2 linked regions of the Cricetulus griseus genome follow. The protein of the gene in region 1 purifies or fractionates together with the protein of each later gene. This does not show direct contact. Links are inferred from orthologs where the notes say so. Each region holds a gene or a part of one and is shown on either strand. Other genes may lie near its edges. The genes, in order: Vamp5 and Stx12.

Region 1 (4,398 bases):
GAGGGGCAAGGGAGCAGAGGGACCAGGAGGATGGAAGGAGGGGAAACTGAGGTCAGGATGTAAAATAAGTAATTATTTATTTATTTTTATTTATTTTGGTTTTCCGAGACAGGGTTTCTCTGTGTAGCTTTGGAGCCTATCCTGGCACTCGCTCTGGAGACCAGGCTGGCCTCGAACTCACAGAGATCCACCTGCCTCTGCCTCCCGAGTGCTGGGATTAACGGCCCAACACCCGGCAGTAATTTTTTTTAAATTACTTTTTCTTTAAATTATTTTTTTTCTTTTATGTGCAGAAATGCATCACTTGAATATGTGACTATGTACCACATTCATGATTGGTGCCCTTGGAGGCTAGAATAGGCATTAGATCCCCTGGAGCTGAATTATAGACAGCAGTGAGCAGAAATGAGGGTGATGAGAATTCAATCTGGGTCCTCTGGAGGAGCAGCCAGTGCTTTTAACTACTCAGCTAGCTCTCCGGTCCCACATTCTAGTCTTTGATTAAGCACTGGGCGATGGGCCAGTGAGATTAAGAAAGAGGACTGTTTGTTGGCTCCTCTTTAATTTTTCCCAGTTATGCAAGAAAAGCTGCAGTATCCTCATCATCACTCTGCTTCAAAATCTCCATCTTTCTGACCGGGGGAGAAGTCCCCATGGCCGGCATCAGGAATCTAAGGGGAAATTGTATGTTCTCAGGCTGGATAATCCCTGTTTGTTTTCCGACTGACTCCTAAACTCACACTATGAGGCTCTTCAGGGCCTGCCATGTAGTTTGTCTGTGTTTTATTCTCTGGGAAAGGGAGTCATTCTTTGCTTGAGTACTGCTCTGGAGGCTGGCTCAAATCTTCTCTTTTTCTTCCTCTGCCTCTTGCTGGTTCAAAACTTGGTCTGGCTGCTGTTGTCATCTTTTATTTCAGGCTGGGATCCATCCCAGCAACTTTAGAGGCTCATGCATCCACACACCACTGAGACTTTTAGCTCACAGGAATGTCGGCAGAATTTTAGCATTTAAAAAATCGCCCCCCCACCTCCTCCCACCCCGGTGTATGGAGGTCAGATAGACAACTTGCAGGAGTTGGTTCTCTCCACAATGTGAGTCCCAGGGATGGAACTCTGATAATGCAATAGATTTGGCTTCAAGTGCCTTTATCCACTGAACCATCTTGCCAGACCTCAATTTGTCTTTTTTAAGTGTACAACTTGGCGACATGTGATGTATTCAGAATACTGCCTGCTCCGTCTGAAAACAACCAGAACTTTGGAGTGGTTGATGTGTTTTCAGTTTTGGGTGGCATGCACTCACCAAGGTGGCAAGCACCCATCCTGGCATGTTCATGACATCCGGAGCACTTAGCACTCACAGATGCTTGTCGTATGACAGAATGACGCCTCCCTCGCTAACTCCTGTTGCAGTCCCAGATCCAAGAGACATCGGTCCCCAATTTACCAGGCTGGGGTGTCATCGGAAATCGGACGCTGGTGGCCCGGTAGGAGGCGCCCCACGGACCCTGTTGCTGCTTTCGGTTTGTCTGGGTCGGGCACCTCTCTGAGAAGGCGCCCCCCCTCCGCCCCCTTGGCCCGCGGGCCCGCCCCGCCCCGCGGCTTCCTCCAGGGCCGCGGGCACTGAGGCCACGCCGGGCAGAGGAGCCGGAGCCGGCAAGCAGGAGGTGGCGGTGGCTGCGGAGGCGATGGTGAGACGGGCAGGGGCAGAGGGCGATTATGCAGGGGTGTGATGTAGGAGCCCGAACCCCAGGGGTGCGGGTCACGCTGGTCGCATGAGCCAGACCCCAACTTTGCAGGCAGCCGGGAAAGGAGAATCAGAGTGCGCCCCGTCGGTGCGGAGTGAGCCGAGCTGCGCTTCCCACGCTCGTGCGGCAGTTAGCAGCTCCCGGCCATCCCGGGCAAGTCACTTAACCTCCATGAGCTTCCTTTTCCGTGCCATAAAGTAGGGGCAGCAATACCTACCTTAGTGGGTCCTTGAGAGGTTAGAGGAGATGTTTATGGTTGCTGCTGCCAGGCACTCAGAACCCTTTGCTAAGAAGTAGCAGGTAATGCGATGACCTCTGCGGGCTCTTCCCCGGGGGCTGAGAGAAGCCAGAGCTGGCCCAAGGGTTGGAAACCTGAGTAGATGCCTAGTGGAGGCCTCTCTAGGCTGGGTGCTGAAAGATAAACACTTTCCCCGGGGAAAGAGAAAATAAGTTGTTTACTATAAAAGTTTCATGAAATTATCAGTGTGACACAGGCTGACTCTTTCCTAACCTCTACCTAATGACATAATCCTGGCTTGAGTCACCTATACTCCTGCTGCAGACCTGCCATTTCTAAGGCAAAGGTGTCTGAGACCTCTGATGCCAGGATCCCCCTCCCCTGGGACTCCTGGGGAGATGGACCAGACTGAAAGCAAGTTTAGTACTCTAAGGCTGGATGGATGTGGCTTGGCTAGAGATGCCAATGTCTGGATGGCTTCATCTCTAGGGAACTAGAGGCAGGAAAGGGAAATGGGACAGGAAGGTAGCCCTAAGCTGTGAGGCCACACCAGGAAACTGAGGGAGGCTCTGAGAATGGGCTGGAGTTAAGAGCCCACTTCCGAGAGTGCAGGGTAAGAGCTGGGAGGAGATAGGGGGTGGACTTCCAGCTGGCCCTCAGCTCCTGGGGAGAAGTTCTGAAATGAAGGCGAGCTAGGCTAGTTATCTGACTGTACAGAACCTTGGGATGCTCACAGGTGCATTCCAGTCAAAGGGGGTTCCGAGCCTGGGGGATACATTGTTCCTCCAGCTCCATCAGCTAACTCTTCCTCCCTTCTTGTCCCCTTTTCTATCTCCAGCTCTTTCCCTTCCGTCATCCACCCCTCTGACTACCTAATTACTCCCACCCCTTTCCCCTTCCTTCTCTTCTCTGTGACTCATTGGGACAAAAAGGACACAGCATTTCTTTTGTGCCACTAGCACAGGACAAAGCAGTGATAGGGAAGATGGAAAGTGAGCAATCATTTTTGGCACGTGTACACGTGTTCTGTGCATGCTTATTCACATGTGTGGGCACACACATGTTTAGGTGCACATGGAAGTCCGAGGTTGATGTCCAGTGTCTTATTTAATAGCTCTCGGATTTATTTATGGAGACAGGGTCTCTGGCTGAACCTGGAGCTCACCAGCTTGTCTAGTCTAGCTGACCAGCTAGTCCTTGGGAGCCCCTGTTTTTGGCATCTTGAGCACTAGGATAACAAACAAACTGCTTGGATTTTGTGTGGGTGCTCAGGATTCAAATTCTGGTTCTCATGCTAGTGCAGTGGGAGCTTTATTTATGGAGCCATCTCCCTAGCACCATATATCGTTTTTTTAAAAAGATTTTATTGTGCTAGGTGGTGGTGGAGCATACCTTTAATCCCAGCACTCCAGAGGCAGAGGCAGGCAGATCTCTGTGAGTTCGAGGCCAGCCTGGGCTACAGAATGAGTGCCAGGACAGGCTCCAAAGCTACAAAGAAACAAGAAACCCTGTCTCGAAAAACAAAAAAAGCAACCAAAGATTTTATTGTATGTGTATGAATGTTTGCTCACATGTATGAATGTGCACCATGTACGTGAGTGCCTATGGAATCCAGAAGAGGGTGTTAGATCACCTCATACTGTAATTGTAGATGGCTGTGAGCTGGGAACTGAACCTAGGTCCTGTGGAAAAACAGCAAGTACTCTTAACCACTAAGCCATCTCTCCAGCCCCACTATAAATACTTTTAAAAATTACTATCTTGCTTGTTTGTTTTTTGGGAGACAACATCTTATAAAGCTGAGCCACCATGCCTGATTGGAATGAACTCTTTTGCTATAAAGCCCTTAAACTGCCTGTATAGACAAAGCTGTCCTTGAAGTTGCAGCAATGCTCTTGCTTCTACCTCCCAAGTGCTGGGATTACAATTATCTGACACCATGGACAGCTATAGAATAATTCTTTTTTGTTTTTGTTTTTTCTTGAGACAAGATCCCACTCTGTAGACTCAGCTGGCCTTGAACTCAGCCTACTGAGTTTTGGAATTAAATAGGTCCACAACTATGCTTAGCTGAAAATAATTCTTGAAGCCATTCATCTGGCAGAATTGGTGTGTGTAGTCGCAAGCTGAGTTGGCAGCATCAAGTGGCTGGCAGTCTTCAGCCAATCAGCTGGAGCTTCATACTCCCCTCTCTCTCCATATCTGGTTTAGCACAGGGTTTAGACTTGTGGCCCCTGGGTCTCTGACCATTCTACCCTCAGATTGGTTACCTACTGGCTCTGGACAACTTAACACCTCTGGGCTGTAAAACAGGGACAATAATATTGTCTTGAGTGGGTTCTTATGAAGATTTAGCCAGATGCCCACATGCACAGCTAGCTCAGTGCTGGGCAAGTTATGTGCTCACTGAAA
Region 2 (3,811 bases), on another chromosome or scaffold:
TAAATACATTGTAATATATTATTAATAATAGCAATAACCATTATACACTCGGTACATGCTGAGTGCCAGGCACTTTGCTAAACCTGGTACATACATTATTTCCACAATAGTCATGCTGCCTTTCTGTATAGGTAGTGTGGTTAACTTCAATGGTCATCGTTACCAAACCTATAATTACTTGAAACTGTTTACATTGGGTTGTCCTATTAGCACATCTACGGGAGACTGCCTTAACTGATTAGTGTAGGAGGACCCAACCCACCGTAGGCAGCATCACTTCCTAGGCAGGAGATCGTGAACTGTGGGAGGGTGGAGAAGCAGAGCTGGGCACACATGTGGAAAAGAACAAGCAAGCACTCATTTCTCTCTCCTTCGACTGCGGATGAGATGTGACCAGTGCCTTCAAGTTCTGCTACCTTGATTTTCCCACAATAGACTGTAACCTGGAATTGTGAACTAAAAAAAAACCAACAAAACAAAACAAACAAAAAACCAAACCTTTTCCTTTAGGTTGCTTTTTGTTGTAGTAGTTTATCACAACAGAACTGAAACTAAAGCACGTGGTAAGGAAATTATAGTTCAAAGAAATCTATCAAGACCAGAGCCCTCCTAGAGCTTTTGTTCCACATCCCACTACTCTATCAGAATAAAGTCCTTTTCTATTAATAAACAAAACAGAAGATACCTACCTGCTCTGATGCAGACAAGGGTAGGGGCAAAGACCCTAATTCCTTTAGCAACTCATTTGTCTCCTTGGCGAGCTGATTTGTGGAGTGCTGTAACTGTTGCCTAAGAGAGAAGACAAGTGTCAGGATGCCATGGCTTCTCGAGAGCTCTCACACTATTACTTCACGCTCGGGGACTCCCAGCGCAAGGAAGGAAGGGAGGGCCATTCAAACAGGCGCTTCAATGCCTGTGCTCACAAACCCTCATTACTGAAGCAGTTCCACTGAGCAGAAAGATGCTCAATGACACCTGCTGAAGGAAGCACAGGCCAGGAATTTCAGCTGTTTGGGAAGAAAAGCATGTCGGCATTCTGATAGAAACACAGGAGTAATTACTACCTACATCCAGTCCTAATGGCTTTAATACACTGAACTCACTTAAACGTCTCACCACTCCCCAGGAGCTCTGCATGGTCAGTTCCTACCATAGTCCACTGACTAGGGTGGTTACATGAAACAGCTTCCTATATACCTAGAAAAAAAACTCCAAAGATCTATTCCTAATCTCTTGTCCAAAAGTGGGTTCTTTCTGGGGCTGGAGAGATGGCTCAGAGATTTAAAGCACTGACTGCTCTTCCAGAGGTCCTGAGTTCAATTCCCAGAAACCACATAGTGGTTCACAACCATCTGTTACGAGATATGGTGCCCTCTTCTGGCCAACAGGCAGACATGCAGGCAGAAGATTGTATACATAATAAATAAATCTTTAAAAAAAAAAAAAGTGAGCCGGGCATTGGTGGTGCACGCTTTTAATCCCAGCACTCGGGAGGCAGAGGCAGGCAGATCTCTGTGAGTTCGAGGCCAGCCTGGTTTCCAGAGCGAGTGCCAGGATAGGCTCCAAAGCTACACAGAGAAACCCTGTCTCAAAAAACCAAAATAAATAAATAAATAAAGTGGATTTTATGCCTGATAGCTTTTCCCTCTGCTGTTTAGAACACTTACCTCTTGTGCCAGATACTGGGCTCAATATCTAACACCAAAAAAAAAAAAAAAAAAAAATCACAATAAAAAAATACACATAAAGAAGCTCGATGCTGGGTACAGTGGCCTTCACCACTAGTCCCAGCTCCTCTGAGGCTGGTATAGGAGCAGCATTTGAATCCAGCAGTTTGCAACATACTAGGATAGAAGGAAGGAAGGAGAGAGAAGCAAATTCAAGAGGGAAGAACATAAAATATAAGTCATGCTATGGAGCCAGGCGGTGGTGGTGCACGTCTTTGATAACCAGCAATTGGGAAACAGAGGCAGGCAGATCTTTGTGAGTTCGAGGCCAGCCTGGTCTACAGAGCAAGTTGCAGGACAGGCTCCAAAATTACAGAGAAACCCTAAGAAAAAAAAAAAGTGATACTTTAGAAATAATAAATAAATAAAAAGTTCTTCCCATCATGGTTTCCTCTAATCTCTGGCCATTTCTACAAAGATTTTAAGGGGTGACAGAGAAGTCATAGGCTATGGTCTGAATTCATGTTGAAATACTAGCCCCCAAGTGATGTTATTAGGAGGTAGTAGAAAGTGATTAGCATGTGTGGGCCTTTTGTGAAAGCATTAATTCCCCTTACGAGGCACCAGAGAACTAACTACTTACCTCTTCCACCAAGAGAGGATACAATAAGAAAGCATCAACTAGCTGGGCCTTGGTGGCGCTCACTTTAATCCCAGCACTCAGGAGGCAGAGGCAGGAGGATCTCTGTGAGTTCAAGGCCAGCCTGGTCTACAGAGTTCCAGGCCAGGCTCCAAAGCCACAGAGAAACCCTGTCTCAAAACCAGTCTCCCCTCCCCCCAAAAGAAAGCATCAGCTGCCTAGCATAAGGACATACTCATTTAATCCCAGCACTAAGGTAACTGAGGCAGATGGATCTGCAGGATAGTAAGACCATTCCAAAAGGAAAACAAAAACCAAATGTTATCTATGAAAAAGAGGGCCCTCATTAGACACTGTATATGCCAGAGCCTTGATCAACCACCCCTCAGCCTTGAGAACTATAAGAAATAAATTTTGCTTGCTAATGAACTATCTAGTCTATGGTCTATTACTGCAGCAGCCTTAATGGCTGGGATACCACATCGTTTTTTTCACTTTAAGTAGACAGCTAGGATTAGAAAACATGAGAGACAGCAGAGGAAGCCAGACCATCCCAGAAACACTAGCATATGCAGACAGGTCATCTCTCCCTGAATTTGCTCCCTGTGACAGCAGTCACTCTCTCACTTCACAGCGTCTAAGAGTGGAAACGAGTAATGTAGCTCAGTTGACTTTAAAGATAGAGAACCTGATGGTGGCACACACCTTTAATCCCAGCACTAGGGAGAGGCAGGCAGATCTCTGTGAGTTTGAGGACAGCCTGAGACCTTGTCTTGGGAAAAAAATAAATAAACATATGTACATATATACACACACACACATATCAAACTTTAAAAAATTACTTTTGTTTATTATCTGTGTGTGCATTTGTGTGTGTGTATGCTTGTGGGCACAGGGGTGCCATGATGCATGTGAAATATGCTGACATTAGAAATAACTTTCCAGAGTTAGATTTTTCCTTCTACTATATAAGTTACAAAAATCAAACTCAGATCCCTGGCTTGATGGCAAGCACTTTTCTTTACTTGCTGAACCATCCTGCTGGCCCCAGAGAATAAAATTTTTACTTTATTATTTTACGTATATGGGTGATTTGCCTGCATGCATGCCTGTGCACTACATGTGAGCAATGCCCACAGAGGCCAGAAATGAGAGTTGGATACCATGAAAATGAAGCTATAGACAGTTGTGAATCACCATCTCAGTGCTGGGAACTGAACCCATGTCTTCACCACTGAACCATCTCTCCAGTGATCAAGAATAGAACTTTACAAGCAAAAATAAAGTCAAGAAAAATGTGACTGTGCTGGAGAGATGGTTCAGAGGTTAAGAGCACTGACTGCTCTTCCAGAGGTCCTGAGTTCAATTCCCAGCAACCACATGATGGCTCACAACCATCCATTATGAGATCTGGTGTCCTCTTCTGGTGTGCAGATATACATGGAAGCAGAATGTTGTATACGTAATAAATAAGATCTTTAAAAAAAACAAAAACAAAAACAAA

Evidence for each region.
Region 2: the proteins of Vamp5 (region 1) and Stx12 purify together in Homo sapiens (affinity purification with mass spectrometry; 3 studies listed by BioGRID and IntAct, with this or other methods). This does not show direct contact. The link is inferred for Cricetulus griseus from reciprocal best matches to the Homo sapiens genes VAMP5 and STX12.

The regions. Positions count from the first base shown.
Region 1 is NC_048601.1:64,109,885-64,114,282, reverse strand, and holds the start of Vamp5 (vesicle-associated membrane protein 5), read left to right. Parts: upstream 1-1,545; 5' UTR 1,546-1,688; coding exon 1,689-1,691; intron 1,692-4,398. UniProt on the Homo sapiens protein: May participate in trafficking events that are associated with myogenesis, such as myoblast fusion and/or GLUT4 trafficking.
Region 2 is NC_048595.1:20,401,529-20,405,339, reverse strand, and holds part of Stx12 (syntaxin-12), read right to left. Parts: intron 790-3,811; coding exon 690-789; intron 1-689. UniProt on the Homo sapiens protein: SNARE promoting fusion of transport vesicles with target membranes. Together with SNARE STX6, promotes movement of vesicles from endosomes to the cell membrane, and may therefore function in the endocytic recycling pathway.